Linked DNA regions of Macaca fascicularis. The protein of the gene in region 1 purifies or fractionates together with the protein of each later gene. This does not show direct contact. Links are inferred from orthologs where the notes say so. Each region holds a gene or a part of one and is shown on either strand. Other genes may lie near its edges. The genes, in order: EXOC1, EXOC6B, EXOC7, EXOC8 and EXOC6.

Evidence for each region.
Region 2: the proteins of EXOC1 (region 1) and EXOC6B purify together in Homo sapiens (affinity purification with mass spectrometry; 3 studies listed by BioGRID and IntAct, counting the BioPlex papers as one, with this or other methods). This does not show direct contact. The link is inferred for Macaca fascicularis from reciprocal best matches to the Homo sapiens genes EXOC1 and EXOC6B.
Region 3: the proteins of EXOC1 (region 1) and EXOC7 purify together in Homo sapiens (affinity purification with mass spectrometry; 4 studies listed by BioGRID and IntAct, counting the BioPlex papers as one, with this or other methods). This does not show direct contact. The link is inferred for Macaca fascicularis from reciprocal best matches to the Homo sapiens genes EXOC1 and EXOC7.
Region 4: the proteins of EXOC1 (region 1) and EXOC8 purify together in Homo sapiens (affinity purification with mass spectrometry; 3 studies listed by BioGRID and IntAct, counting the BioPlex papers as one, with this or other methods). This does not show direct contact. The link is inferred for Macaca fascicularis from reciprocal best matches to the Homo sapiens genes EXOC1 and EXOC8.
Region 5: the proteins of EXOC1 (region 1) and EXOC6 purify together in Homo sapiens (affinity purification with mass spectrometry; 4 studies listed by BioGRID and IntAct, counting the BioPlex papers as one, with this or other methods). This does not show direct contact. The link is inferred for Macaca fascicularis from reciprocal best matches to the Homo sapiens genes EXOC1 and EXOC6.

The regions. Positions count from the first base shown.
Region 1 is NC_088379.1:77,989,612-77,995,288, forward strand, and holds part of EXOC1 (exocyst complex component 1), read right to left. Parts: intron 4,142-5,677; coding exon 3,914-4,141; intron 3,711-3,913; coding exon 3,578-3,710; intron 2,946-3,577; coding exon 2,836-2,945; intron 2,022-2,835; coding exon 1,968-2,021; intron 1-1,967.
Region 2 is NC_088387.1:49,085,467-49,091,675, reverse strand, and holds the start of EXOC6B (exocyst complex component 6B), read right to left. Parts: upstream 3,903-6,209; 5' UTR 3,798-3,902; coding exon 3,685-3,797; intron 1-3,684. UniProt on the Homo sapiens protein: Component of the exocyst complex involved in the docking of exocytic vesicles with fusion sites on the plasma membrane.
Region 3 is NC_088390.1:82,516,334-82,522,010, forward strand, and holds part of EXOC7 (exocyst complex component 7), read right to left. Parts: intron 5,520-5,677; coding exon 5,451-5,519; intron 4,446-5,450; coding exon 4,300-4,445; intron 4,051-4,299; coding exon 3,898-4,050; intron 3,691-3,897; coding exon 3,592-3,690; intron 3,246-3,591; coding exon 3,183-3,245; intron 2,850-3,182; coding exon 2,783-2,849; intron 2,025-2,782; coding exon 1,986-2,024; intron 1,271-1,985; coding exon 1,205-1,270; intron 925-1,204; coding exon 804-924; intron 543-803; coding exon 447-542; intron 1-446. UniProt on the Homo sapiens protein: Component of the exocyst complex involved in the docking of exocytic vesicles with fusion sites on the plasma membrane.
Region 4 is NC_088375.1:17,751,664-17,757,814, reverse strand, and holds the start of EXOC8 (exocyst complex component 8), read right to left. Parts: upstream 4,205-6,151; 5' UTR 4,092-4,204; coding exon 1,914-4,091; 3' UTR 1-1,913. Other genes in the region: DNA-dependent metalloprotease SPRTN, read left to right, coding at 4,736-4,956, 6,123-6,151. UniProt on the Homo sapiens protein: Component of the exocyst complex involved in the docking of exocytic vesicles with fusion sites on the plasma membrane.
Region 5 is NC_088383.1:101,629,483-101,635,732, forward strand, and holds the start of EXOC6 (exocyst complex component 6), read left to right. Parts: upstream 1-2,725; 5' UTR 2,726-3,744; coding exon 3,745-4,249; exon of another isoform or gene 4,250-4,489; intron 4,490-6,250. UniProt on the Homo sapiens protein: Component of the exocyst complex involved in the docking of exocytic vesicles with fusion sites on the plasma membrane.

The DNA.
Region 1 (5,677 bases):
GAGCCTATAATTTCAATGGAAGTTGAGTGTGTAAGATCTGAAAGATCTAAAAGAAGCTAACTAATCTTTATGCAACATTACTCTCATACTATATTACAGTGAGTTTTATATTAAAATACACTTCAAGTTTCACTAAAGTATAGATAACACAGAAGTATTAATAGGAAAGCTGCATCACAGATAGCATGCTCTGAATCAGTGATTCCCAAATGCAAGATGTTTTTCCTGGCCTATAGCAATAAGAAAAAGTACAATGAAAGAAGTGAGTCCTTCATAAAGGTAAACATATTAATTTTTAAAATCTGAAAGGAAATTCTTATTCTTTTAGTGCCAAAATGTCATTTTAAAACGAAAAGATAATGAAAGTGGATAATAGTATTTCCTTTTCAAGGTCTTTATTTGGTAAAAATAAAAAAATTGGTGATTTGGTCAGTCTCCAAATTTTATTTCTTTTAGTTTTACTAAGTTGTGAATTTTAAAAAGACTGAGAATCAGTGCTTTGAAATTACTGTTATATTGTGAACAGATTTTTTCACTGGATTCTTCAGTATAATATTTGTAAATATTGTAACTATACATTTGCTATAAACTGTATTGCATGGACTCAGTTCAAGTCCTACCTTATCTGCGATTCCTTCCATATCTGACTCCTTAAATTCTCAATAAACTCACTTTTGATTAAACCTTTTTAGCACTTACAGTCCACAGTTCTACAATTAGCAATATATTACACACATTGCTAATGTATATTAGTCTTAACTCCTTACAAAGAGTAAGTACATTAGTTTTAACTTCTTCTTACAAGCATCTTGAGGGTACGAACTATTTCTTATTCTCACATATGGTAGACAGTGAGTACATAATAAGCATACAATGAAAATTTTGTGATTGCCAAAGAGGTGTACCATATTATTTTAATCAACTTTCCCAGCTTGTGCCCCTACCAGGAATAGACATACCCATGTTTCTCAACAATTTTGCTAGGTGACCTGATGCACTGAATGCAACACTAAGAAAATCTCTTTCTTATGCGTGGGATATCTTCTTCCACCTTTTTTGGCACATCCTAGGTTGTCACAGCATTCTGGTATTTAACATGCATCATTCACATGTAATAACACATATTAGCTTTTCAGAAACGGGAAGCATTCATTTTAAACGAAGCCATTAGTTTACAAGGCAAGAAGCAAAATCATAAATAACTGCAGGTTACAACAAACAGTTAAGGGTACAGAAAAGACTATTGTTTATTGGCTGATATTTTCAATACTATCTACAAATGTGGATAACATAATTGTCAACAGTGTCATTTTTACAAACTAAGGAACTGTATAGGAATAGATGTTATTGTAGTAATTACCTAAGAAAAACACGAATTAGTAGTTCCTATGTGACATCTAAGCTTACTTTTTTCTTGACACTTTTCAGGTCAAGTGGAATGTTAAGGGAATTTCTCTGATTTCCCCTTACTGTGCTTTTAGTTAGGTGGTCTTCCTTTATGCTCCCACAGTCTCACCACCATAACATTTATCCCTCTTGAGTATATTATTTGTTTGTCTCCCTTCCCTAGACTGTGAACTACCTGAGGACAGGACTGGTCTCTCATTTATCCCAAGTCAATGTCTGGTATGTACCTCAACCACCTGGCAATACTAAATAAATGAAGGAGTAATATTACTATTATTACTAAATGAAGAATACTACTACTATTTATTACTAAATAAATGAAGTGAGTTGAAAAAATGACAGAAAGAAAAGCAAGCAGAATGAGATTAAATGCCTTTTTGGCCCAAATAGTCTCTACTATGGGACATTAAAAACCGGCTACGAATGTGGTTAACAAGTAGCTTAAATCAGTAAGTTATAATCTGTAAAGATTCTGCTGCTGTTAAGTTTAGCAAACTCTATAGAAAAAAAAAAAAACAAAACAGAATCAGAGAAGCTTGAGCCAAATTTGATGTACTCACAGGAACCGAAAGAAAGTAGGACCTGTTATAGAGTTGAAGGAGGGCCTGAGTAAACTAATTGGAAATAAAATATAGTAAATACAATTGTTTTAGAATATTGCAAAGTGAAAATAAAGTAAAAATCCACTGTTTTCAGGCAGTATTTCTTGATGAACAAGCTATCCCCCCAATTTTTTTTCATTCAGTAACTCTAATAAAATAAAAGGGACTTTTAAAAGAGATGAAAAAATAAGAAACCTAATTTATTACATTAGATATTAAAATGGCTTTTATTCAAATCTCCCAAAGGTACTCTTAATATTTTTAATAACAATATTATTACCACACTCTTAATTATAACATCCTTCTCCATATAAAAATATAGGCAAAGCATTTATATGAAGATTAGATCAACTGAAATTTATGGTTGAGCTATAGTCATTTTCTTAACAAGCATAACAAGCATACTATGTTCTAAGTACATAGAACTTACAAAACATTTAAGACACTGAATCAAGTCCTAAGTCTCACCTCAAAATATTGAAAAATAAAACAAGTCCAATAGTAAACATCTAACAAGTTTGGACTTACTTTTATAAGTAAAAATATCTAAGTAGTATATGCAATTAATATGCACAGTTATTTGATTTCTAGAATCAGAGAGCATCAGCTGAAGGGAACTAGACTGTCTACTGAAAGAGGCAGCTGAGGCCCAAAATACATCTATGAGCAAAGAGGCACCTATTTCAAAATATTAAAATCAAATATGTGAAGGAATTGATTGCAACCCCAATTAAACATTATTAACCTTTTTGTGGAAATGTAAGGTTAAGATAATACATAAATAAGCTATAGGAACATGCTCGTCTTAATAATAAAATAAAATTACCTGTTGAACAAAAACATTGTTGAGGTGACTCGCCAGTCTCCGGGCAAAAAGCTCTCGCAAATCACTGAATCGCTGCTGTTGCTGTTTGACTGCCAGAAGCATGTCATGGCCTGATACAGAATGACATTTTGTGACCAGTTTAACGGGTAAAAAGATTTCCTTGATGTTTAATGGAACATTAAACATATCTAAAGTTTTGAATAACCCCTAAGTTGTATGAGTGTATTCATTTACCTGATAAAAATTAAGCAGGAGAAAAATGGGACTGCACAGTGGTTCTCAAAGTGTGGTCTTGCCTCACCATCGCCTGGGAATTGTTAGAAATGTGGATTCTAAAGCCTCAGCCCAGATCTGCTGAATCTGGGGCTGGGGCCAGGCAATCTATGTTTTTAACAAGACCTCTAGGGATTCTGATGGACACTCAAGTTTTGAAATCCCTGCCTAGAAAAACCTTACGCTCTCTGGTCTAACCAAAGCACCTACTTTCTGCTGGGTTCTGCGGATAGTACTAAATAAAGATCCTGGTGTTGACTATAGTCATTGAGGTCAACTAGAAGGAGGAACTGAAGTAAAAAAGTTCATAGTATCAATAGAAATAAGCGGGAAATCAGTGAAACTTGAATAGCTAATAATGTAACCCTAAACCACTTGTCTCACGTATTTCTTGTCAAAATCTTTATAACAAGTTACAGGCTTAGTCTCAGATTCTTGGTCACATTTTTGTCATTTCTAATGAACATACCTGGTCGAAGAGCTACATTCATGCACTGCAGAAGGGCATCAGCAGCATTGGTGCAGGCCTCAATGCCTCTGGAAGAAGCAAGATCTCCTTCCTGAAGGGCCTTTATATGACCTTTGGCCAAGTCCATGTGGTTCTAGAATATATGCAAACATACCATTTGCATGTGTAATTCTGGGAAATTTACAGGCAAGATGCTACTCAATCCTATCATTAGGTCTTTGGAATTAATTTAAATCCTGTTCTCATAAGGAAATTAGAAAATGTTTACAAATGGGTTTTATATATCATCACTAGTTTTTTTTGTTGGTGGTGGTGGTAATTTATGATCATACTTACCACAAGGAACTCTATCTCAGATAGGAGTTTTACATTATTAGTGTTACTAAGATGAATTAGGTGGTTGCTTTCAGAGATCTGATCCATTTGTTCTTTTACACTTTGGAGCATTTCCTCATAACTGCTCAGCTTCAATTCAATCTGATCTACCTCCTTTAGAGCCTCATCTAGCAATTTCATCAAGATGTTGACTTGTTTTTCAGATGCCATGATTGACTGGATGTTAGCCTACAAAGTTAAAGACCAAAACAAGCAAACAAAAAACACAACATTTCATGTTACTTAAGTGTGTAAAAGAATAAAGGTGAAATGTTGCTAAATTTCCTTTAAAGTAGAGTAACAAAAATTGATATATACCTACACATCTACTTTAGTTTATCACTTTATGGTCTTCCATGTTTTACACAGTATTTCATGCAGTCATGCAGGTACATTTGCCTCTTTATCAATGTTTTTTTTTTTTTTTTTGAGACGGAGCCTCGCTCTGCCGCCCAGGCTGGAGTGCAGTGGCCGGATCTCAGCTCACTGCAAGCTCCGCCTCCCGGGTTCACGCCATTCTCCTGCCTCAGCCTCCCGAGCAGCTGGGACTACAGGCGCCCGCCACCACGCCCGGCTAGTTTTTTGTATTTTTAAAGTAGAGACGGGGTTTCACCGTGTCAGCCAGGATGGTCTCAATCTCCTGACCTCGTGATCCGCCCGTCTCGGCCTCCCAAAGTGCTGGGATTACAGGCTTGAGCCACCGCGCCCGGCCTATCAATGTTAAATTGATACACATGCCTTAGGATTTTATACTTCCACAGACTGCACAAGTAAGGTTCCAGAATGCACAAGTACAGTGCCAGAATGTATCATCAGTAATGGCACATTCTCATTTCTATACATTTAGGAGGCATTAGGCCATGTTATCTCTAACATTTCCTCCAATTCTACCAGCTAGAAATTTTCTTAACATCTATGTGAAACACTAAATAAGAGCATAATCACCTATGTGATATCTTAGTTGAGAAAGCAGCGGTGGTATACCAGACTCCGAAGGACACATGAAACTAATTTATAACTGTAGTATGAAGGGAACTAGTAACAGGACGTAGAAGAGCATATGGCTGATAGATAGCTCCTTCTATCATCTTTTTTCTTTTCTCTTTCATTTGCAACTCTGTTTTTCTTCTTCCCCAGGCAAAGCAGTAACAAACCATCATCCCCTCATCACTATTTTCTAAATGATTCTAACTACTGATTCTGAATTCCCTGAAATAAGGAAACTGCCAAATCCAAAATTAAACTGCAAAGCAATATGCTGACTTGGAACATATATACAATATTAATTAGAACAAAAAATATAAATCACTAAGCCATATTAAAAAGGCAAGTAACATGGTATGATGAAAAACCTGGACCAGAAATTTAAAGAATATCATTGTACAGCTGATGCTGTGGTTTCACACGTTATTTATATACTATTCACAGTAAATAAAATATAAGTGCAATACAACTTTAAGAGTCAGCAGGGCTCAGAAGCCACTGACACACTGACATCTCTTAAGTAACAGAGCTGGCGTTTGAATCTGCCCAGGATAATTTCTTTCTTAACATCTTAAAATCATTTCTAGGCTTTGCTTTCAGTGAGCTCTGTAAACTTGTAAGCTTGGACTATTTATATAATCTCTCTGGGCCTGAGTCAGACCCCATAACTTCTGTACCTTTCATGTACATAACACTAAAATTTAAGTCTTTAAAATGTTCCTTATCCTCTGAGGGATTTCT
Region 2 (6,209 bases), on another chromosome or scaffold:
TAAGTGATATAAAGGAAAAGTGAGATATAGGGATGGGATTTGAAAAATGAAAACAGGGAGCTATTGTTCATAAATGATTTGTCATCAAAATTTTAGTATTTATAACACAAAACAGGAATCAACATTATTTTAAAAACAGGACAGACAGGCTTTAACATCTTATAGGCCTCTTTCCAAAATTAGGACTCACAGATAACAAAATAATTTTTAAGGTAAAGACAAAGAGAGAGATAGCTAGTTTCCCAAAAGAGTTTGCTAAGCAACAACCTCTTTATATGCGGGTATGCTTGGGCCTTTCAGAATTACAACGAAAAAGAAGAGGTGGTATATCCTTATGATACATGGGAATCTACCAATATTACATGTATAGCTCAAAACTAAAATAATAATAGTAATATAATGAAAAAGTCAAGTCACTGTGACTCCTCAAACAAAAAGAGATAAGACTGGAAAAACAATCCAGTATCACAGCAAAGAAAGCAAGCAAGTAATGATACACAAATAATAGCTGGGAAAGGAAAGAGTCTGGTTAGGCAATATAGCCAAGTGGATTTTTTTGAAGAGCAGGTATTTTAGGAATGGATATACTAATCTAATATCTGCTCTCAATTTACTTTCTCTGTTCGTTAGTTTCTCTTCAGCTAGAAAAGCCTATCTCAGGAACAGTTAAGAATCTGGTGCCTTTACCTCAAAAGATGAAGAAAGAGGAAAGACATACTATGAAGAGGAAAAGTTCGAGATTTACAATTGAGAGTAGTTAAGGCAAGAAAGCTACTGCCTTAATCAAACCTGTTTAATGATAGTGATGAAAAACAGGAGATAATGACAATAGAGGCACATCCCAAGTAAGGCATGGGATCTGAAACATCAAGTCTGTGCATGCTGCTGCCTCTGAACGGGATAAGGAAAAAAGGTGAGATCATCCCCTATGAATATGGGTAGGGACAGCTAGACTAAAGACAAAGCCCATGGGTACTCCTTGTATTATAGGATATTCAAGTGAATAAACCCTGGGTCTGATAGTAAGATTTAGTGTAATCTGCTAAAAAAAAAAAGAAAAAAAAGTTAAGACCAAAAATGATAAGCCCGTAATAATCATATAGGAAGTCAAGAAAAGCAAGTAAAACTGGTATTGAGTCTCAAACTTTTTTTTTTTACAGTGTCCCCTTAGGGCAAAAGATCTCTTAATCCATCTACCTACACAAAACCCCACTTTTCAGTGGAAAAAACTCAATAATATCAATGAAACAAGTTTTAGGGAGACTGGGTAACTTATATTTAAATCGTAATGTATATACAGTTGACCCTCGGTATCTGCAGGTTCAACCAACCTCTTCAATCAAAGTTTTAAGAGAAAAAATAAAGGGACAGTGGCCGGGTGCAGTGGCTCACACCTGTAATCCCAACACTTTGGGAGGCTAAAGCAGGTGGATTGCTTGAACCCAGGAATTTAAGACCAATCTGGGCAACACGGTGAAACCCCATCTCTATATAAAATATTAAAAATTAGCCAGGTATGGTGGCACACGCCTGTAGTCCCAGCTACTCAGGAGGCTGAGGGGAGAATCACCAGGCGGTCAAGGCTGCAGTGAGCAGTGACTGCAGTGATTGTGCCACTGCACTCCAGCCTGAGCAACAGAGTGAGACCCTGTCTCAAAAAAAAAAAGGATGGTTGCATCTGTACTAAACATGCTACAGACATTTGTCTTGTCATTATTACCTAAACAATACAGTATAACATATATTTACATGGTATTTACCATTATATTAGGTATTTTAAGTAATCTAGAGATGATTTTAAGTATACAGGAAAATGTAGGAAAATATAGGATCATTGACCCTTAAGAGCTAAAGAAAATGGGAATTGAGAGAAGCACAATGGTCCTGATCATAAGGCAATGGGGGTTGGTGGAGAGACAGGCAACTGTGTGGAAGAACTGGTCCAAAAAAGGGAGCTAAAAGTCACTTTAAGGGACAAAGGGGCCAGGCACGGTGGCTCATGCCTGTAATCCCAACACTTTGGGAGGCTGAGGTGGGAGGATCATTTGACCCCAAGAGTTTGAGACCAGCCGAGGCAACATGGCAAAATCCCATCTCCACAAAAAGTTTAAAACGTAGCCAGGTGTGGTGGTGGTGCACAGCTGTAGGACCAGCTACTCAGGAGGCTTAGGTGGGAGGAGCTGAACTCTGGAAGTCAAGGCTGCAGTGAGCTACAATCACCTCACTGCGCTGCAGCCTAGGAGACAAAAGGAGACCCTGTCTCAATAAATGAATATTAGGTTGGTACAAAAGTAATTGCGGTTTTTGCTATTACTTTTAATAAATAAAGAGACAAAAGGCAAACTACCATAGTTATGACCAGGGGTGGTACTGGCAGAAATGTGCTAACAATGTGTCCTGGAGAAGGAAGCTGTGCAGGTGGAGAGGAGGAGTAGTTTCCAACCTGCCCTCCTTCAATTAGTCTTTCCTGAGTCAACTCACGCCAGGAGAACGCAAGCAATGAGTAATAACTTTTCTGATGGGAGGGGCAGTGACCCAAGACTGTGCAAGGAGGGTAAGATAGTTATCTATGTATTGGCTGCATGAAGATCAGAATGCATAACAGTAAGGGATAAGGCTGAGTTCGTTCTAGGACACCAGTAACATGAGGGGAAGGGGGAAAGTAGTTCAAAACTAGGCTTAGTGAGTAATTATCAACAGGAAGTACGGGTAGCCGGTAATCTCCAGCTGAGGCAGAACAGTGGTTAAGTGTCTGGATCCAGGCTACCCGAATAGCAATCTGAGTCCCCTACTTTATTTTCTCTGTGACCTTGGTCAAGTCACTTAACCTCTCTGCGCCCCATCTGTAAAAGGAGAGTAATAGAACCTACCTAATACGGTTGTTTTGTGGCTTAAATAAGTTGCATTTGTAAAATCACTGTTTACAACGTCTTGCACTTTATGTAACAAGTGCTACCTAAATTTGTTAAATAAGTTGAGGTAAGTCGGGATTTCTTTTGACATCTCCAAATAAAATGGAGATGTGCGTGCAAAAAAAAAAAAGAAATGGTAACTTGGAGGCGGCAGCAGGGTCAATTTTCCCCAGCGATGAGGAGGCTGCACCGTGGGCGAGGGTCGTCCTCGTAATAAGGAAGCAGGGATAAAGGAGCAGCGGCTCCCAGGAGAGGGGCGTGGGTTGGGGGAACTTCCATCCAGGCCTAGGATTTCCAAGGACTCGTTTCTGAGAAGTGGCTGTGATTCTGAGGCAAGACTTTGATTTCGAGCACCAGATCATGGAGTGAAATTCTGTGTTATCTGAAGAGCAGGACTCCTGTCTAGGGCAGGACGGAGTTGGAGTCGGAGGGAGAAGGGTGATGTCCCCAGGGAGAAGATCTGACGGGAGCCACCACCATCGGTCGGGCGCCCGCTCGTTCCCCAGCGCCGGACTAGCCTCGGAGGGAGAATGAAGGCTGCTCCAGCCCCGAGGGAGACAGCGGGAGCCTCCTGAGTCACTGGGCTATGGGGCGCCGCGAAGGGACCCCGCGTCGGGGCTGCGAAGGGAGACCGCCTCGCCCGGAACGCAGGGTCTCTCCCAAGGGAGAGGCCAGCGCCGGCCATGGAGACAGCCGGCCGGAGCCCGGACCCAGAGGAGCCTGCCCCGTCCCGCCCGTTCCCGCCCCTCGGTGGCCCCGGCACCCGGGGTACCTGAGCGTGGGCCCGATGCAGGCCGTGTCAGTGCTCTCGATCTCTCGCAGGATCCGCTCGTGCTCTGCCGCTGTCTCCAGGCTCTCCGCCTCCGCCATCTTACCCCGCTCCATAGACTGGGGGCGCCGCGCAGCGCGTCCCCTCCGTCAGCTCGGCTCACCTTTTCGCTGCCCCACACTCCCTCTTCCACCCCAGGCTCCACAGCCGCCCCAGCCTCTGGCTACCCGCAGGCCGACCCCTCCCTCAGGCTCGGCACGCCCCCTTGCGTCACCGCGTCCGTCGGCGTTCTGCGTAATGTCCGCTGGGATTTGTAGTTCTCTGGGAAATGCTAGGTTGGATTCCGTGCATTCATACATTGCATTCATACATTGGATCCGCAAATACTTGTTGAAAGCCCACTGTAAGCTAAAAACAGTTAACAACACTGCGTAAACAGTGATGATCAAGTCAGGCAGTGGCACTAAGCCTACAAATTCTTGTTTACCACCTTTGTCACAAAGTGCAAAGACTCTGTAGGTGCGAATAATAAAGTAACTTAATGTCTGACAGAAGCCTTACAATCTAGTGGGGGAGACACGGGGAGCTGGAGAATTCAAAACCGTGAACTGTGAGCCAGTACAGAGAATGGAGTTCAGAGATCTCTTCTGGTTGCCAAAGTTTCATAAAGAGACTGAGTTTCGGAGGTTAAAAGGCATAACCGGAAGTTGTGAGGAGAATCCAGACGGCCGAAAAGAATTTCATTTGCACTGATGTGTAAAGAAGTAGTAGTAAGGGATGGGTCTGGAAAGGCATGTTGGAGAGAAATTGCGAGGAGCCTTAAATACTGGGCTGAGAAATGTGGACTTTGTTCTAATGGTTCCACTGATCCAACAACCAACTGCAACAGAAGCACCTGGAAACTTTTTTTTTTTTTTTTAATACAGACTAACGGTCATACATCTGGAGATTCTGATCCAGGCATCTGCATTTCATGAACTCCTCAGTTACAATTTAAAAATCAGATTTATTGATCATTGCTTGAGTTGTTACATAACACAACGAATGGGAAGACACAGAAGGTTTTTAAGAGGAGTGACACATCAAAATGTGGGCGTTAGGAAATTTGGTGAAGGGCAAGTGTGCAAGATGTGCAGAGATAGAGAATTTGGAGATAAGGAAACGCCATAGGAGATGATAAGGCCTAAACCAGGGAAGCAGCAATGAGAATGAAAAAGAATGAGCAAATAGGAAAAACATCAAAAAGGGAGAATTGACAGGATTTACTAGATACCAAAAAGGTTAGATATTACTCCAAGGTTTAGTACCAGAGTGACTAGTAGAAGAGGGTTTCCACTGACAAAAAAAGTCATGAGACAAAAAAACTGGAAGTTTAGGCTAAATAACTTGTGCTACAACCATACTACAGACTAGTATGCAATCATTAAAAAGAAAGACAAAAGACTCTATGGTCATACATGAAACTGTCTCCAAGTTGTAGTTGTTAAGCAGAAAAAAGCAAGGCATGAAACAGTATATAGACTCTGTCCTCATTTGTTTTTTAAAAGAATAAATACTCATATATATGCTTTGATATATATATACACACACACATATATATATAATATTACATAGGTAGAATATTTCTGAAACGGTGCCCAAAAACTGTTAACAGTAATGGCATCCAGGAAAAAAAATTGGAAAGAAGGAGTCTGAAGTGGGAAGAAGGTAATTTTTAATTATCTATCATTTGCACTCTTGGAATTATTTTCCTTGTGCATGCATTACTTTTTTAGTAAAAATGGCAGTCATTACCTAAGAACACATTTTAAAAATAAATAAACCACTAGTAAGGGGAATGGGTTACAAGTGCTAATTTGCCAGGAAGAGAGCAAGTTGATAAATCTGTCTGTCTCTAGATAATCTCTGCCTGTCCTCGTTTTGTTTCATTACTCATGTTTAAACAATTCCAAACAGACATAGGAGGGGTAGGGAGAGTGTGGAGCCTTTGATATTTCTAAAGATCTCTTGAAATACATGACCGAGGGTCCCTTCAGACACCCATTTTAGCATCTCACTCAGCAAGTTTTTCACCGATAACAGGATCCAGGCTGCTGCACAGACGAGATATATTCAGTAGTGGTTAAACTAGCTTCTGCTACTGTCAGCAGTTTTTGTGAGCCTCCACAGAGGCCAGAGGCCACACATCTTAGCAACAGGGAACAGGTCTGGAGTAAGCAGTATTGGAAACCTCCAGTGAAGAAGACAAGATGACCTGTCTAATGTTTATGTCCTCCAAATAGAAAGAATGTGAGTCCCGTTGATTCAGTTCCAGCATTACTGGTTAAAATGTATTGAGCAGGCTGGGCGCAGTAGCTCATGCCTGTAATCCCAGCACTTTGGGAGGCCGAGGTAGGTGGATCACCTGAGGTCAAGAGTTTGAGACCAGTCTGGCCAACATGGTAAAACACTGTCTCTACTAAAAATGTAAAAATTAGCCCAGCATGGTGGCAGGTGCCTGTAATCCCAGCTACTCAGGAGGCTGAGGC
Region 3 (5,677 bases), on another chromosome or scaffold:
GAAGGAAGAGGGAGACACATTCAAAGGGAAGAAACAAGGCCAGGAAGAAAGAGGACCAGAGAAGCAGAGGGATCCCCACAGACCAAGGCTCAGCCAAGTTCAAGTGCTCTCGTGACCTTGCTCTTCTCCTGGGGTAAACATTACCCACGTCTCTGACAGTCAGCTCTTCAATCATTCTTAGCCTTGGCGCTTGGCAGACTCCCCTCTACAGTGGTGACAGTGGGCCCCTAGGAGCAGGTAGTGGTGGAGGAGGGGGGCTTCTCTCTCCGGCCCGTGAGTTTGATTAGAAACCAAGTGGAGGATTAGGGTCCAGAGGACAGGAGTTCCCCATGACCGACCCTGTGTTCTGAGGTGCTGAGAAGGAAGAGTGCGTGGTGGCACGGGGCGGGGTGAGGGCTAAGACGGCTGGGGGCCTATGCAGGAGCAGGGCAGGCCCAGCCTCTCACCTGCGCTGGTAGGTCTGGATCTGCTGCTCAATGTGCTCCCGGTAGGAGCGCTCAGCAGTCTTCTGTGTCACTGCCACCAGCTGGATCAGTTCAGACCTGGGTGAGGGTAGGGGACAGAGGAGAAGGGGCAGGACTGGCTCCTCACGCCCAAAGACTGCAGCAATGCTGGGAGGGCCTCCCATTGTACCCCAAACTCTACAAGCTCTACAGCAGCAGCACTCCCACCTTCCGGGTCCTGGGATGGAGGAGACTGAAGCACCCCCTCCCCTCTCATCCACAAGAGAAGGAGCCCAGGGGGCAGGGGCTGGCACGGCTGCACAGCCGAGGGGCGCAGACTCGCTCCCTCAGGCCACTTACTTCTCCAGGGACTTGAGGATGTAATTGTAGTTGTTGTGAAGGAAGATGGCGCTCAGAGCTGGGTCCTCGTACACCTTGGACTTGCTCAGCAAGTTCAACTGTAGGTTGCCCAGTACTTTACCTGCACAGGGAAAAATGGGGCCACACCCATCATGGCAGTCTGACCCAAACGACCCCATCCCGGGACCTGCTAACGCACTCCTATCCATCGCTCCTCGTCGCCTCAGGAGGCCTTAGCCCAGCTCCCCTCAGCCTCTGAACTAGAGGTCAGGTTGTGGTTCCAAAGGTCAGATGGCACTTAGGAGAGGGCCCTGGGAATAGCCAGAGAGCACAGACAGAAGGAAGGGAAAGGCAGGGCATGCAGGCGGCAGGGCTGCTGGTCTGCCCGGGAGAACACTCACAGATATAGGTGCTTAGCAGCCGCTTGCTGAACTCGGAGCTGTAGCTGGTGGCCGAAGAGCTGGTCTCTGTGAGAGGAGAAGTCCTGTTATTGCAGTGGCAGCAGCCAAGACCCTCAACGGCCCTTCCCCCATGCCATGCAGCAGTCTGAGGGGACACTGAGGTCCCCGGGCTTCCTCTGGCAGAGCCAGCTACCTGCTAAGCCACAGGGCGGCCCCTGCCACAGGAAGCACCGGCCCTGGATTTTCTGGAACCCAGAGCTGCCCTCTATGATGGGGTGGCATGGCTAAGGAGCTGGTCCATGTCAGCAGAAAAGCTGGCAGGACAAGAGTGAGATGCCAGTGCCCTATCCCCTCCTGCGCCCACCCACCCTGGGTGGTTTCTACAAGGCCCCCTTTTTCTTTTTGCCAACAGCAGAGTCTTAGAAAGGGCTCCTCACAGTCTCTGCACCTTCTCCCCTACATTCAAACATCCCCCTCTACCAGACCCTCCTGAATAGAGGAAGCTGCGGCCTGCAGTGTGGAAGGCCGAGTAGGGACAGCAAGGCAGGGAGGCCGGGTGAGCCTGGGGGGTGTATTCAGGGCTCTGGCCCCGGCAGGTGCTGTGGATAAGCTCAGAGACAGAGTGGCCCTGAAGGGAGCAGAGAGAGTTGAGAGCACCCTGAGAAAACTCATGTCCCCTCTGACTCGGGCTCCCCAGTAGGTCCTGAGAGTCAGTCCCCAGGGAACCTCACCCACCAAGCTTCAGAGGGACAGAAGGGGGCTGCAGAACCGCACTGCTTACCTCGGGGGTCTAAAGGAATATTGTATGTGTCCCCAAGAACTACGGAGTGAAAGGCAGTGCACACAGAGGGGACGGAAGGACAGACAAAGGAGGGAGAAAGATGCAAAGTGCAAAAAACAGGTTAGAAATGGCACGTCAACCCGAGTCAAGCAGACCTCTCCCCACGACAGCCAGAACACAGACAGCAAGACACAGCAGGCAGGACCCTCTGAGGACCAGGGAGCGCTCTGTAAGTACAGAGCTGGGAAACTGCAGGCTGGAGGCTGCCCATGGGCTCCCTGCCCCCAAAATGGGACGGAAGGAGAGGGCCCGGGGACCTCAGTGCTTGGAATGAACCAGAAAGGTGCTCTTGCTCACAGGCCGACCCCGAGCTCCAGTCCCAGGGCAGGGCCAGCAGGAAGACACCCAGCTAGCCCTGAAACACTTGCTACCCTCTGAAGGCCAGCTGAGCGAGCCTGATGAGGAGAGCAGGCAGACACAGAGAAGGATTCGGGAGGGGGGCAGGCGCAGAAAGGACACCTTCCAACCAGCCAGCACTGCTCCCAGAGTGAGGACACTGCTTCCAGGGCGACGACGGTCAAAGGGGCTGAGGGAGGGGCCGGAGGTCCAGTGTCTGGTCTTGAAAGGTGCAGGCAAACCTCGCTCTCCTGATGCTCAGCCCCAGGGACCCTCTGCAGGGCACATCTCAACCCCTCCACAGACTGGAGACGCCTCCTCACTGCTCCCTGCCCTCTAACCCCATGTCTCCAGGCAAGAAGGGGAGTGGGGCAGGGGGCCCAGCTGGGAAGTGCCAGTACCTTGGGAGGCCAGCATGGCACCTGCCGTCTCCTGGAAGTCCAAAAGCTGCTGCAAGAAGAGGATGGCCTGGGTGGGAAGAAGACGGTGCAGAAGGGCAAGTGGCAGGCCCGGCTGACGGCCTCCCGCAGCGACCCCTCTGAGTGCCCACGGCCAGCCCAGGGCTGGGATCCGCCCAGTGAAGAGCGCGGCTGGAAACTTCATTTTCACTCTAGTCTACCAGGAAGGGCCCTGTCTGCTAGAGACACTAAGCATGTCACTGTCCATCCTGCCACCCAGGACCGCTCACAAAGGTGCGAGCAGCTCTGGGCCAGACTGGGTCCCTTCCAACAGTACTCTGCCCGGCCCTGAGCCTGGGTCCTCCTTCCTCCCCCCTTCCCGGTGTCCTCAGGCAGCACCCACATTGCTGGTGAGCTCGTGCACGGTGCCGTCCTTTGGCATGTTGTACTCCTTGTCCGGATCATTCTGTGGAAAAACAGCCTCTGGTTCCCTGAAGCAGCCCCCGGCCCACCCCACGCCCCCCGTGCACCTGCTCACGGTGCCGCCTCCTTGCAGACGGGTGCTAGGACACCTCTCAGGCACAAAGGCTGAGCCAGGCTGGACCAAGGGGGAGAGGCCCTTCCCACCTCAGAGGGCTTGGAGGCCCCAGGAAGGAAAGGAAGGCACATGGGTGCTGACAGGCCAGCGGCGCAGTTGGCTTCCCCTGGGACAACGCACCCTCTTGGAGGCCTGCTCTCTGAGAGTCCCCCAGGGCCAGGTCACTGTGGGTGCTGGGATGGGAGGGAGGGAGAAAGGGGAGGACGGCAGGGACCTTGATGTTGTCCGCGAAGTCCTCCAGCGCTTTGGCACCAATGGTCTCCATGGAGGTGATGAGGCCAGGCAGCTTATTCTTGGTGCTGGCGGCCGTGCCCTGAGGAAGCACAAGGGAGTTCCAAGCTCTCCTCCAGTCACTCAGTGAGCAGCTCATTCGCCCAGGGCCCTTCCTAAGCTGTCTCCATGCATCCTCAGAGCAGAGGTGTGGGACGGAGAATGCGGATCTCCCAGGGAGGGATGAGGGCGGCCACACCAGGCAGCAGGATGCCTACTGGCTGTTTTCGAGGGCCCCTCGTCCACATACCTGGAGCACCTGGTCAAACTCAGGCTTGGTCTGCTTGAGGTGCCGCAGGATGGGGAAGACGGTGAGCACCGTGGAGAAGTCGTGTCGCACAATGGCCTTCCGGGCAGCGGACACAATGTTCTCCCCTTCAAGCATCAGCCCATCCAGGGCATCCTGAGGGGACAGGGAGACAGTTCAGGGAAGGGTGGGGTGGTGGGACCTGGCTCCGGGCTGGTGGGGGATCCTTGTAGGGTGTAGGGGGCCAGTGTGCAGGAAGTGGGGCGATGGGGAGGTGGTGAGCGTCCACCCAGGACCAGCCCACAGGGCACAAGGCGGTGGTGGTGGCTGGAGTTGAGGGCTGCAAGAGTCTGTGGTGACAGCTCTCGCTGGGGCTGGCTGCAGAGCCCCAGGGCGGCACGGGACCTGTATCAGGGAGTCGAAGGTCTTCTTCTGGTGGTGCTCGGGGATGATGTCTGCCAGCAGCTGGTACTCGCTCTGCGCCAGCTTGACGAAGGCACTGACGCAGTGAATGTAGGCATCGGTCTCCACGTCCAGCATGTCATCTCTCCCTGGGGAAGACACAACTCTTGAGTTGCTGGTCTGGGGCCAGCCACACTTCTGGCTGGGGAGGTGTGGGTCCCCCAGCTCCTGGACTGCACCCCAGACCGGCAGCGGATGGGGAAGAGGCTGACTGTTCTGGCAGAAAGCTGCAAGGGCACCAGCAGGCCCCGCCAGGTTCGAGGGGAACAATAGGAGCTGAGCCCAGCCTTTGTTCTGGCTTCATTCTCAGCTCTGCGCAGACAGTGGGATCAGACACCAGAGGCAGGAGGGTGATGGACGGAAGGATAAGGAGGGAAGATCACTGAATCAACATCCTGGATAAGGTAGTTTGACCCCAGGACTGAGGATTCTGAGTTGTACCTGAAAGAGGGCAGCCCAGGGTGGGCAGGTGGCTGTGCCACCTCAAGGAGGCTGGCACTGGGGTCATCCATGTGGGCAAATGTGGGGCCTGCGAAGGAAGTGACCAGCCCAGCCAGGGCTTCTGGAACATCTAAGAGGGCGGTAGGCTGCAGCCTCTGAGGCTGGCTGGCATAGGGTCAAAATCTGAGAAGAGGCTGGTAAGTCCCAGAGAGGAGGGGTTGCCAGCTGCCCCAGGAGGAGGCCAGATCCTATTACTGGAGGCCACAGCGGGGGCGCCTGTGGACAAAACCAGTGGCAGAACTGCCTGGTCCTATGTGCCAAGGGATGGGCTCCGAGGGGATCAGAGCTCTGAGTTGTTGCAGGAGGCGGACGTCAGGGCTCCCTGCCCTCAAGGGAGCCACCTTCCCTCTCTGCCTGCTTTCTGAGTAGCAGCGGCTTCTCCCCTTGGCCCAGGCCTGAGAGCCAGGCACGCACTCCCATCTGGAGAGAGGCAAGGAGACCTAGGCCCAAAAGAGAGTGGAGAGAGAGGCGCATAGGCCTGGCCCATCCTCAGAGCAGACTGGGCCTGGCTGGGCCAGACAGGAGCAGGCCATCCGGGGACCGCTGCGAAGGCAGTGTCAGCAGCTGCCCTCGGGCTGGGCTGCAGTACTCACCGGCCAGTGGCCCGTGCTTGTCGTTCAAGGCCTCGGACAGGTGCTTAACTCGGAAATCATGCTCGTGACCTGGCGAGATGTTGGCCGCATAAACACAAGCAGTGTTTATCCAGGGGCCCGGCAGGCCGCCCCTTGGGGTATAGGGAGAAGCCCTTCATCTCCAGGAGGGGGATGTCAGATGGGGATGGGGAAGGGGGCATCAGAGAGGGCTCTGAGCCCCTCCTCTA
Region 4 (6,151 bases), on another chromosome or scaffold:
AAAAGACAAATTATAACTGCCTTTGCTCAGCTAAGATATCCAGTTATGGTTATAACTTTCGAAAATCCTAAAGTTATGTGAAAAAACGTAGTCAAAAGAAAATCTGTAAATCTGATACTTTCCAATATTTTAAATATGCATAGCTAAAGCGAAAATAAAGGGGTTGATCTGGCACATGAATAATTAAGTCAATGAATTTTACAACCCTGAGCCATTTTGGCAACTATTTTAGGTTTCACATAATTTTCACAGTCTTAGTACCACCATTTTCATTTAGATAAAAGAAATGACCTTTTGAAATCATGGGCATCAAATTTGGTGCTTATGGACAAGAATCACAACTAGAAGCTAGAGACAAAATGGATCACAGCAAGCATAGTTTCTCTCAAAGTATAAGGAATGTTATAGAACATACAATAGAAGCGATAGTTTAGAAACCTTGGGAAGCTCACATTTCTGATTTTGTTTTACTAAACAATTTGAAGCATTATATTCATGTTTAAAAAAATGAAACAAGAAAAATGCAGCATGGAACATTTTAGAAGTCACAGAAGGTTCTCATCTTCCCTTTGTTTTGGGCACATTGTCTCACCTGTTTTCACTTTGGTACAAAAAGAAACAAAACCGAATCTCTGCTCAGAGTAGTCATAGTGAGAACACTGAGATTTGCATATGTTTTTCTAATTTCCCATCCATCTAGACCCTGAAATCTAAATAAATATTTCAGTTAAAACTTTTTTTCCATTTGCATGACATCTAGGCCACTATATATCCTACCCTGAATGGGGGAGGATGGGACAGCTGTATCTTAAACTGAAGCAGTGGCAGCTAAAACCTGGCAACTGCTGCCAGAGTCCCCAATGTGTCCTGCCTATTATTATTTTTTAAAATGTGACAAAGGCAAAAGCTACAGTTGGAAACTCACGCAATTTAGAAATATGTTGAAAAATTTTATTATAGTCCTTAGGATTTCCAAGTAAACGCTCCTGAATCAAGTATTACAAAGCTGCTAATTAGCAACTGAAAATTAGCCATTCAAATAATATTAGAAATAGTTGCTGAATTGTTTTTATGAAAGCTTCCTCTTGGATTCTGTAAGGATCAGAGTATCTGAATCCACACACCAGCTAGTTTCAAGAAAGAACTCTTTTGACTAAAACTTACCCTAAAACCAATTTTCCCAACGCTTTTCTTTTTCCCAAATAGTCCAACGTTTTGAGGAGAAATAAATGAGGCAGGGTGTTTTATACTGCACTGTACCCTTTAGGAAACCTTTTAGTGAACTGGGAAAATTTTCACAACATAAACTCTATGTTTATAGATATTATTACTCTGCTGTATAATATATACTGTGCGGAAAAAAAAAAGAAGAAAGAAAACACTAGCCTGGGCAACATGGTAAAACCCCATCTCTACAAAAAATACAAAAATTAGCTGGGTATGGTGGTGCCAGCCTGTGGTTCCAGCTACATGGGAGGCTGAGGTGAGAGGATTGCCTGGGCCTGGGAGGTCAAGGCTGCATTTAGTTGTGACGTTGCCACTGTACTCCAGCCTGGGCAACAGGGTGAGACCCTGTCTCAAAAAAAAAAAAAAAAAAAAACCAAAAAGTGTTTTATCAAAGGATAAAACTGAAATGCTATAGTGTATAGTGTGACCATAATTTCAGAAGAGAATCAGCATAATTTAAAAGGATAGCTAGCATACTATATGTTTTAATAATTCCAGTATTTTTGTTATTTGGGCTTAATTTAACTTCTTTTCCTCTTTTTGATTTTTGTATTCTAAGAGGGCACTTTTAATTTTCAAGTTGTGTTTGAAACTATAAAGAGTATGCTAATACAACTTAATATAAATATAAATAATATATAAGCGCTCTCTCTCTATATATACATACATATAAACAGACCCAAGCATTAGACCACTGATGTTGTACTTTCAGGATTCACACGAATAAGTCTAGATGCATTCCTCAGATCTTGGAGTTGCTTGGCAGGTTTCCCCACACCTTCTTCAAACCTTTTCTCCACCACAGGGAGGACTGTTTCATATAAAAAGGATGCATTCTGTCTGATAAAAGCTTTCTTCTCTGGATCCTGCTCACATCGAAGACTATAATCCACATGCTGAACAGCAACCAAAATGATTTCCACCAGGCTCTCCAAAAGTACCATGTGCAGCTCTGGGAAATACAGCTTCAGAGCCTCTTCCAAGAAGCCCATGGTCTGTTTGGTGAAAGCAACCACTGTGTAACTTAGGTTCACCCAGCAGTCATCCCCTGTGTACTGCTCAAAGTTACTTACCCCACAGCTTTTCATCTCTTCTTTGAGCTTCCCCAGGGCTTCTGGCGTCATCAAGTTCATCCTTCTCCACATCTCTTCAGAGTTGCGATGTTTAGTGGCTTCAATGATGATTTCTTTGTAACTGTGCAAGGCCCCTTGGATGTCTTTCACCAGAAGGGCATGGATGATGAAGGTGAGGTCCAGTCCGATATCACCCAGTTGCTGGCAATGCTCCTTAGCCACTTTTACACACTCAGCTGCTGTTGAGAGGCTCTCCTTACTATCAAACACCTGCTTGCTGAAAGCATCCACGAACATGCCCATGGCTGATCTTGCCCAGACCACAAAGGCGGAGTAGCAGCCGCTGTCAGTGCCTGCAAAATCAATCTCAAATTCTCTTGCAGTCTCAAGAAGGCTGGTAAAGAAGACATGGCACAGCTTATGAATATAGAGTAAAGTGGCGCCTTCAATGCGAAGCTGACGAATTGCTGTATGAACAGCGGCTGCCCTGTTTCTCAAAAATAGCTCACAGGCCTTCGTGCACTGGCCCAGCCGGATCAGTTGCGAAACTGCTCTGCGAGTAGCCTTGGGACCACCTCTCAGGGAACGATCTGGGGAGAGTTCGAAAACCAGCACCTCAGTGAGCTGTCGAACTCGCTCCTCCACTTTGGCCCTTAGTTCTTTTACAGGAGGTGGGCTAGGCTTATCTTCCAGGTAATGGTTCAATTTATCCAGCAGGTCAACAGCTCCTTCAAAGTCCCTCTGCGCAATGCAGACATCCAGGTCTTCAGGTAACTCCTGGATCCATTCCATGGAGAGGTCCACGTTCTCTTCCTCTACTTCAGGAACAGCTGGCTCTTCTTCTTCGTCATCCTCAAATGGGTTAGTGGCCTTGGAAGTCACTTGGGGTGGCCCTCGAGGGGCCGCTGCCTCCTCCTGCTCCCTTCGCCTTTTCTCACTGAGGGCTCTCTTGGTCTCCTCCAGCACTTCCAGCCACTCTCGTTTGATTTTAGCATTTTCGGCCTGGAAAATACGGCTCTCGGGGAACATAAGCAGCTTGAACATGTCCTTCATGGGCGGGTTGTCCTTGACATTGACTACGGCCAAACCATCTAGGGAATAGAGAGCGTTGTAGCGATACATGCCCCGCCGCTGCGGCAGCCAGGTAGCCACCAACAAACAATCGTTCATGAGAAAGCCGTGCACCCGCTGCAGTTGGGCCATGTGGTCGGCATCGTATTCCACTAGGTCCCCGTTGTACACCAGGTACTGTCCCGGCGTCTCCAGCAAATGCCTGCAGCCTTCCACCTTCTCAAGCAGGGTGGTGAGAGTGCGCTGCTTTCCTTCCTCGCCTGGACCGGAGCCGTCGCGGGAGGCGCCACCGGGGGTGGAGAAAAAACCGGCCTGGCCTCGGAGGTGGTCTCGGCCCCCCGCCCCACCGACTCCCTCCTCCCCGCCAGACGCGGCAGCGGCTCCGGCGGCAGCTGCGGCAGGCAGCAACGTAAGCGGGATGCTCTCCAGGCTGCTCTTCTGCTCCGTCAGCAGGTGGCTGAGCTGGTACATCTCGCTCTCCAGGTAGGAGATCTCACGGGCCGTCTCTATGAACTGCCGGTAGTTCTGGTAGACGTTGCGCTTCAGGTTCTGCGCCGTCTCCTCCGCCAGCGCCTGGATGCGCTGCCGGTGCTCCTGGAGGTCCCGGTCCCCATCCGACTGCTGCGAGAGCTGCTTCACGTACAGCCGCGCCTCAAAACCCCCTGACTCCAGCTGCCGACGCAGGCGGCTCGCCCCACTGTCCGACATCGCCATCGCCATTTCCGTCCGGGTCTCACGCAATCACTGTCACTATCGGCGCCGCAGCCGCCGCGGCTGTCTACACCCACCCAAGACCCGCCGAGCTCCTGGGCTGAGGAAGCAGGAATTGGAACAAGACGAGTGCGCCTGCGCCGGGTCTGAGCGTCAGACACTGCGCCTGCGCAAGGGGCCAGGCGCAGACATTGCGCCTGCGCAGGAATGCCATCAGTTAAGGCGCATGCGCCGGAGGAGCTAGTGCGGAAGTGAGTGGAGAGGCCGAGAGCAATTTGGGTACTGCGCATGAACCGAGCGTGACGTTGAGGTTTGAAATAACCGGCAAAGAGTAAAGGCTGGAACTAGCTTCCTGAAAGCTTCGTAGGGCCGGTGCCCTGTGAGCCCAGGTTCTGCGCCCACTAGGAGGTGTCGTGCTGACTGCTTGTTTTAAAGCCCTAGAATCTTGGCTTCGGCGTTTGGGGTAAGCGCCGTTCTCGTTCACGTTCTCTTTCTTAAGCGAGTTTCCGCGAACTCTCGCGGGATTGACTGGCCGTCTCGAGAGCCGGTATCTCCTAGGAGCTAGTCCTGGTCCTCCGCTAGGCGGCTTGGGGTCGCAGCCTAACTCGGAGCCAGCCTGACACCGGCGGATCCCGCCTGTGATCCTGGCAACGATGGACGATGACCTGATGTTGGCCCTGCGGCTTCAGGAGGAGTGGAACTTGCAGGAGGCGGAGCGCGATCAGGCCCAGGAGTCCCTGTCGCTAGTGGACGCGTCGTGGGAGTTGGTGGACCCCACACCGGACTTGCAGGCCCTGTTTGTTCAGTTTAACGACCAGTTCTTCTGGGGCCAGCTGGAGGCCGTCGAGGTGAAGTGGAGCGTGCGAATGACCCTGTGAGTTCCGAGCCCCGCTGGGGAAAGAGGCGGGACTGGCAGTTCTCCTGCAGCCCCCGATCCTGGTCTTCTCTCCTTTCTCTGGTCCGACGGTCCCAGGGGGCATTAAATGAGGGGGGAGTCTGGTTTTGGACCTGGCAATTCCTGCCTTGGCGTATTTCTCTTTTTCTTACCTTTTCTCCCACTCGAAAAATAAGAAAGCTGTGTAGACCCCACCGCCACGGTTGGACTCAGGGCCATAACGAGAAAAGAGATTTGTGTTTGAATCTCACTAAACTTGAAAATAACAAGTTCCTGATTTGCCTTATGATAGTGCTGTAGGACCCTGAAGGGAAAAGCAACCAAATCTGCCCCTAAGAAAGTGCTGAGGACGCAGAGTAACCTCCAAAGGATGTGCGTTCCCCTCCTCTCTTTCCCGTTAGGAACCCACTTTAGTGAGCTCGTGTGTTGCAGTGGGGATCTTCAGTGATGCTTTTAAAACGATTCTTTTTCTACATGCTAAATTTGAGAAATCCTTATTTGAAATAATAATCTACTCCTGCACGTGAATAGGGTGAAGTTTAAGATACAGTTGTATACCACCAGCATGCTTGTTTTTGAGTTGACAGAAAACAACCTACAAACAAATTAAGATATCATATTAAATTGTGTTTAAAGTACCAATCTCCTTTATACAGGCGTCTGTTATCATTTTGGAGATACACTATTGGAGATACCTGCTTGTTAATAACACCAAACTGTGATTTGTCGTAAGGAGACTGGGAGTAGCAGAATGGGATTGCCTTCGAGCTGTTGCAGCCTAGCTAGGGCAAGGGAAGCTGCAGTTGGGCCATGTGGTCCGCATCGTATTCCACTAGGTCCCCGTTGTACACCAGGTACTGTCCTGGCGTCTCTATCAGGTGCCTGCAGCCTTCCACCTTCTCAAGCAGGGTGGTGAGAGGGCGCTGCTTTCCTTCCTCGCCTGGCCGGGGAGCCATCGCGGGAGGCGCCCCCGGGGGCTGTAACTAATTAATTGGGTGAAATGCAAGTATCTGCTAACCAAGGGGGTATACTCTCAAGAAAGCCATCTGCCAAATGAGTTCTCTTAGTGTGCACTGCCCAAGAATGTGTAAGGACTTGGGCGTATTTGGTCAATGTAACACATTTTTATGGTGATTGTTTTCTAGGTGTGCTGGGATATGCAGCTATGAAGGGA
Region 5 (6,250 bases), on another chromosome or scaffold:
GTGATTTGTTCACCACCATGATATGTGCTTCCAAGGATGAGTGAGCACTGCCCCCAAACACAACGAAAGGCGCTTGCCTTAAAAGCACAGGATCCAGAGGGTTCACTAAAGTGGGTCTGGAACCAAGAATCCAACCCAAAAGACACGTTCCTGTTTCCCTCTCTACAAAAGTAGGAAACATATTTCAGGTGGTTTACACCCACCAAGCATGCAGAAAACCCTGATACACAATCAGGTTATTTTTTTTTAATGATTAGAAAAAAGAACATTTATGTGTCTGGTTTTTATTTTTATTTTATCAAAGAGGAGGCTAAAATGCTGGGCTCTCTGGCTTACTAGCAAATGCCTGATAACCCTAGTCACCAAGGCTAATGTTGACTGAGCTCTAGGCTAAACATTACACATATATTACCTTCTTTAATCCTCACACAATTTGGTAAGCTAGGGATTCTTATTGTCCTTAATTCACACTTGAAGAAGCTGAGGCTTAGTCAAGTTAAGTAACACCCCGAGGCCTAGCATCTAGTAAGAGATGAGTTGGAATTTGAACTCAAGTAGTTAAATGCCAGACCAGAGCAGTTGCACTCTACAACCTCATTCTGAGGGAGGCGCTTTCCCAAGACAGGTCATTAGTCTGTAGATAAATGATGCAAAGATAAGTTGCTAATGACTAAGAGTTTATTTACAAGTCAAATCCTTACTTTGCCAATTAGTTTTATACTGGACACAAAATGCATCTCCTGCTCTGCTGGTCTTCCTAGTGTATCTTTCTTCTTCCAGGAGTCCTGAAAAGAGATTTTGGATTGATCTCTGGAAGTCAATATCCACTGCCAAAAAATAATTCCACATGCATCTGCAATCTACCTGTCTGTGCCCTGCTACTCCATAACCTTCTTAGTGCAGACATTAAATCATTCACTCCTAGGGGCTGGGCGTGGTGGCTCATGCTTGTAATCCCAGCACTTCAGGAGGCCGAATCAGGGTGATGACTTGAGGGAAGGAGTGGGAGACCAGCCTGGCCAACATGACGAAACCCCGTCTCTACTAAAAATACAAAAATTAGCTGGACGTGGTGGCTTGCACCTGTAATCCAAGCTACTCAGGAGGCTGAGCAGGAGAATCGCTTGAACCCGGGAGGCAGAGGTTGCAGTGAGCCAAGATCGTGCCACTGCACTCCAGCCTGGGCAACAGAGAGAGACTCCATCTTAAAAAACAAACAAACAAACAAAAACCATTTATCCATTGGATGGGCTTCCCCCACCCCACATTTATATATTTGATATATCTATGTCCATGATTAAAATTAGGGCTGGGTGTGGTGGCTCACGCCTGTAATCCCAACACTTTAGGAGGCCGAGGCCGGCAGATCACCTGAGGTTGGGAGTTTGAGACCAGCCTGACCAACATGGAGAAACCCCGTCTCTACTAAAAATACAAAATTAGCTGGGCGTGGTGGCACGTGCCTGTAATCCCAGCTACTCGGGAGGCTGAGGCAGGAGAAACGCTTGAACCCAGGAAGCGGAGGCTGCAGTTAGCCAAGATCACGCCATTGTTACCCAACCTGGTAACAAAAGCAAAACTCCGTCTCAAAAACACCAACCGAACAAACAAAACAAATGTACAGTTAGTTATTTAGGACATTTAACTTTGAATTCTTAGCTAAAACCTCCCGGTACTCACGGAACTGTCAGAAGTCTCAGAGGGAACCAGCAAAAACTGTTTCAGAAGGAGAAGTGGTAAATGGACTTCCTTCCATGTTCACTTGAATTTCGGGGAAGATACTGCTGCTTATGTTGAAGTAATCTCTCTGCGCAGGTGTTGAAACAGGCCTGGCCTGAGGAGTGCCTAAGCAGGGCTGGTTTCCCAGAGCAGGGGCACACTTGAAGCTGGCTTTGGAATAAAAGATATCAGGACAGGTGAAGAAAAGGCGGAAAGTTCTAGGTAGGGAATGATCAGGAAAGTAATGCTCCAGCTGGAGACACTGGTCAAATAGGAAGCCGGCCTGTGCCACATGCCCTGCTCTCCTCATCTTGCTCGCTATCATAGTTCACTGCAGACTCGAACTCCTGGGCTCAAGTGATCCTCCCACCTCAGCCTCCCAAAGGTCTGGGATTATAGGTGTGAGCCACTGTGCTTGAGCTAAGATAAGTTCTTAAGAGGGGAAAATAACCTTTTGAAAATTGAAACTGAGACATAAAAAAATGAAGACAAACTTTGTCCCCTCCCACAAAGAGAATGAAAAGCTAGGTCTCTCTGCAGGAAATGGAAGACTATCTTAGCTCAATGGATGTGTATAGCCGGAATCCATTCCTCTGAAGATTCCAGATTAATAGGAAGGTGGGCATTAGCAATGTTTTACAGGGCCCTTCCTAAGTTTGGTAGGCAGTGGGTCCCACTGATGCTCACATTCTAATCCCTGGAACCTGTGAATATGTTATTTTTACATGACAAAGGGGATGTTGCATATGTGATTAAAGTTAAGGACCCTGAGATGGAAGATTATCCTGGATTAAATGGTTGGGTCCACTCTAATCATATGGGTCCTTAAAAACTGAGCATCTTTTCTAGCCTAAGTCAGAGTCAGAGGAAGATGTGACCACAGAAGAATGATCAGAGAGATGCTACTAGATTTGAAGATGGATGAAGGGGGCCATGAGCCAAGGAATGTGGGTGGCCTCCAGAAGCTGGAAAAGGCAAAGATATTCTCCTGCAGGGTCTCAGGCAAGGAACACAGACATGCTGACACCTTGATTTTTAGCCCAGTGAGACCTGTGACAGACTTCTAACGTACAGAACTGTAAGATAATATGTCTGAGTCATTTTAAGCTAGTCAATCTGTAGTGATTTGTTATAGCAACAATGGAAAACTCATACACCATAGGACAGCAATATGAGGTAGACACTGCTATTGTCATTTACAGTCATTTAACTGACATAGAACTAGGTTCTTGCCCAATGTTACACAGCTGTCAAGTGATATTTATCCAAGAATTAATGTCTTCAGACACTGGTCTTCAGAGCTCATGCTCTATTATACAAAACCACCTCCCAGGATGTTTGTGGGGAGGAGGCTGGAGGTAGGTTTCGAGTAAAAGCTCACTGAGGGTGAGTGAGTTACACAGCTGGATAAAGAGCTGGTTGACTCAAAGGGAAGCTTTTCAAAGCCCTGGATTAATGTAGAGCAGAAAGTAGTTGTTCCTCAGGCTAGGTTTACATTCTGTTCCTGTTTAGTCTTCCTTCCTCCCTGCTTTGATCATGACAAACTGGTTTACTCAGTGTCCCACAAACATGTCATTAAGCAGGACTTTTTTCTACACTGATACTTTTGTCCAAGCCTCCTTGCCTTCGCTCTCCCACCTCCCTGCTGCTAACCCCCTTTCAAGAGCTCTCAACCCTCCTCAACCCAGCTACCCTGACCTGGGGGCACTGGGATTCAAGGACTTTGGCATGAATCACACATCGCCCTGGGCTTTTTTTTTTTTCCAGTATCTTTGCCATCAAGTGCCTTAATTTCTCGTCATTTCATTTTTCTGTCGCTTATAATTTATTTCCAAGTTGACTGGCCACTGGTGGACTTCTTGCAGGTGAGGACATGAATCCACCTGGAGCGGTCTTCATGGTCAACTGGGATCTTTATTCGTTCCTAAAATAAATCTTACTATCACACGCAATTTTGCTTTTCGTGAGCGCATGTGTTCCTTTCTCTGATTGCCCACAACGCAGAGTACATCAGGCCCTTGTTAAATGTCCCCGTGGCTCTTATTACAGAGGCAGGGTGATGATCTGAGTGTCCACCTCGCTGACTACTACGGTATCCCCAGCGTGTGGCACAGGGTGTGGCACGCACAGAAGACAAGAATATATGTTAAAGCCCAAAGGCCGGGACTAGACGCCCAGGAGGGGCTGGCCGCAAGGGAGAGCAGGAGGCCAGCTGGGTACCCGGCAGCCGCCCGCAGCCCCCACTCACTCCCGCAGGTGCGGGGGCGGGAGCCGGGTAGCGCGCCTCCTGCCCGGCGTTCCGCGCGCCCCTCAGCCGCCGACTCTCGCGCCCCGCCCCCGCCCCGCCCCTCCGCGCTCGCGCCACCTGGCGCTCGCCCCCGTCGTTCCCGCGGCGCCGCGCCTCTCCGGTTCCTCAGCTTCCAGCCAAAATGGCGGAGAGCAGCGAGGGTCTGGGCACCGTCCCCGAGCACGAGCGGATCTTGCAGGAGATCGAGAGCACCGACACCGCCTGCGTGGGGCCCACCCTCCGGTAAAGATCTCATCCCCCAAGGACTTCGGCTCCCCGCCCTGCGCCGGCTGCTCCTCAGGAGCCGGGCGGGGCGTCCGCCGCCGGCCGCGCGCGAAGCTCCCCGACAGGTGGTGCGCGCGGGGGCGGACGGGGGCGCTCGCGGGTGGCGGAACTCTAGCCCGGACCCGGGCGGGACCGAGAAGGCGGCTGCACCTGTCGGCGCGGCCTGCCTCCGCCTCTGGAGCTGTCACCCCGCAGCCGGTGGGTGTGGCTGCCGCAGCGTCTCTAACCCCGGGCGCCGCGGTGCGGCCCCGCGTTCTTCTCCTGGCTGCGGCCCCAGGGCCCGAGGACACTCCTGGGCCCTGGCCCCGTCTCGCTCGTGGCAGGACTGAGGGCTGCTCGGCCGCGGGCGTGCCAGGCTAGGGTCGACAGCCGGCAGTCGGCGTGTCGGAGGTGGCAGGTCGCGCGCGGGTGGAAAGCCTGGTGCGCCAGGCTGCCACGGGCGTGGGAGAATTGAAATTGAGCGGGAGACGCCGGCCCCTTCCCCCTGCTCCCCCGCGCGGCCGGAGTGGGCGAGAAGAGCGCGTGGGCTGGAGGGGAGGAGCTGCTTGCTGCTTGGGAACGCCCTAGGGTGACCCTGCACTCGCGGGATCTAAGCTGCTTTGGAGGCAGAACAGCTTTTACTTATTTACAAACATTTCATTAAAATTGCATTAATTGTTCCGGTTATTTTAAATCGAGTTCCTCCTCATTCATTTTAAGAGTAGTACTAGGTAATGCATATTCCATGCCAGACTGAATGAATACCTGCTGTTCCGATAGAATATTATTAGCCAGGCACCGTAATGAGCCATGGGTTAGGTTAGGCACTGTCTTCAAGAATAAGTTCCTTTTACATATAAGGTTTCATCTTTTGGAGTGATGATATGATAAATGAAGTTATGATTCACTTACGGAACTTGAGACTGATTATGCTTTATCATTAGTATTTATTCGGAATACTCTTCCTAGAAATAGAGCGCTGTACAGTTTGTGAACCGGTGAATGTAGTGTAAATTGAAGCCAGTTCAAGTTATGTAAATACACCTTGCCCTTAAGAGTCAGGAGGCCTGGGTTCTTGTTTTGCCCTAGTCCTGCCACTGATGAAATGTGCAGTCATGGAAAACAATTATTTAACCTCTCTGGATCTCGGTTTCGTTGTTTGTAGAATGGGGAGGGGAGAGTATTCAGATGTCCAGGAAGCTCAGAACATTAGGGACCTTGCCTATTTGTTCACTGCTGTATCCCTAAGACCAAGCATGTGGTAGGAATGTTACAAATTTTTGTTACATAAAGTTTCTGCTATGATATGATAATGCATAATTAGTGCATTTCCTTAATTTTCCAACATTATTATGTCTTTTAATAAACTATACTTGGTAATGAAAGAAGTAAGATTAAAAGGAAGCTTTGTTTTCATCACTGCATCTTGCAACAGTGCAGTGCGTGATAAAGTTACTAGAGTAGTTTATTTGTGAAGATAGTACTGGTTATGAAAGAGGTGCTTCATCTTGGGAAAATGTGCTAGGTAGTGTCCTTGAAAAAAGATGAAATTAACTTAGAAGAACATTTTGAGATATATTGAGAGATTTTTGGGACACTCAGGAACAGAGTATTTGTATTCATAGTGTTATTCCGTTCTCTTTTGTTGGGCAGTTGTTTCAACTGGCTCATTTTGTTTGAACCCACTCTCTTTAGCAAACTCTAGTGACTCACACTTATCCCATATATATGTATATTTATGTCTCATTTATAAGCAGACGCTTTTTGCACACATATAGAGGGTACTGCTAGCAGTCTTTTCTCTTGAACATTGTTTAAGCTACTACTGTTTTTTTCCCTGTATTTTTCAGGTTTCACTAAGTGAAGTGTTAATACTGCATTTTAAAAACCATTTATTATGGAAGCATTTTAAATGTTTAAAGAAGTAAAATAGTGTAATGAACCACCATGAACGGTCATCTAGCTTCAATTCATTCCCTG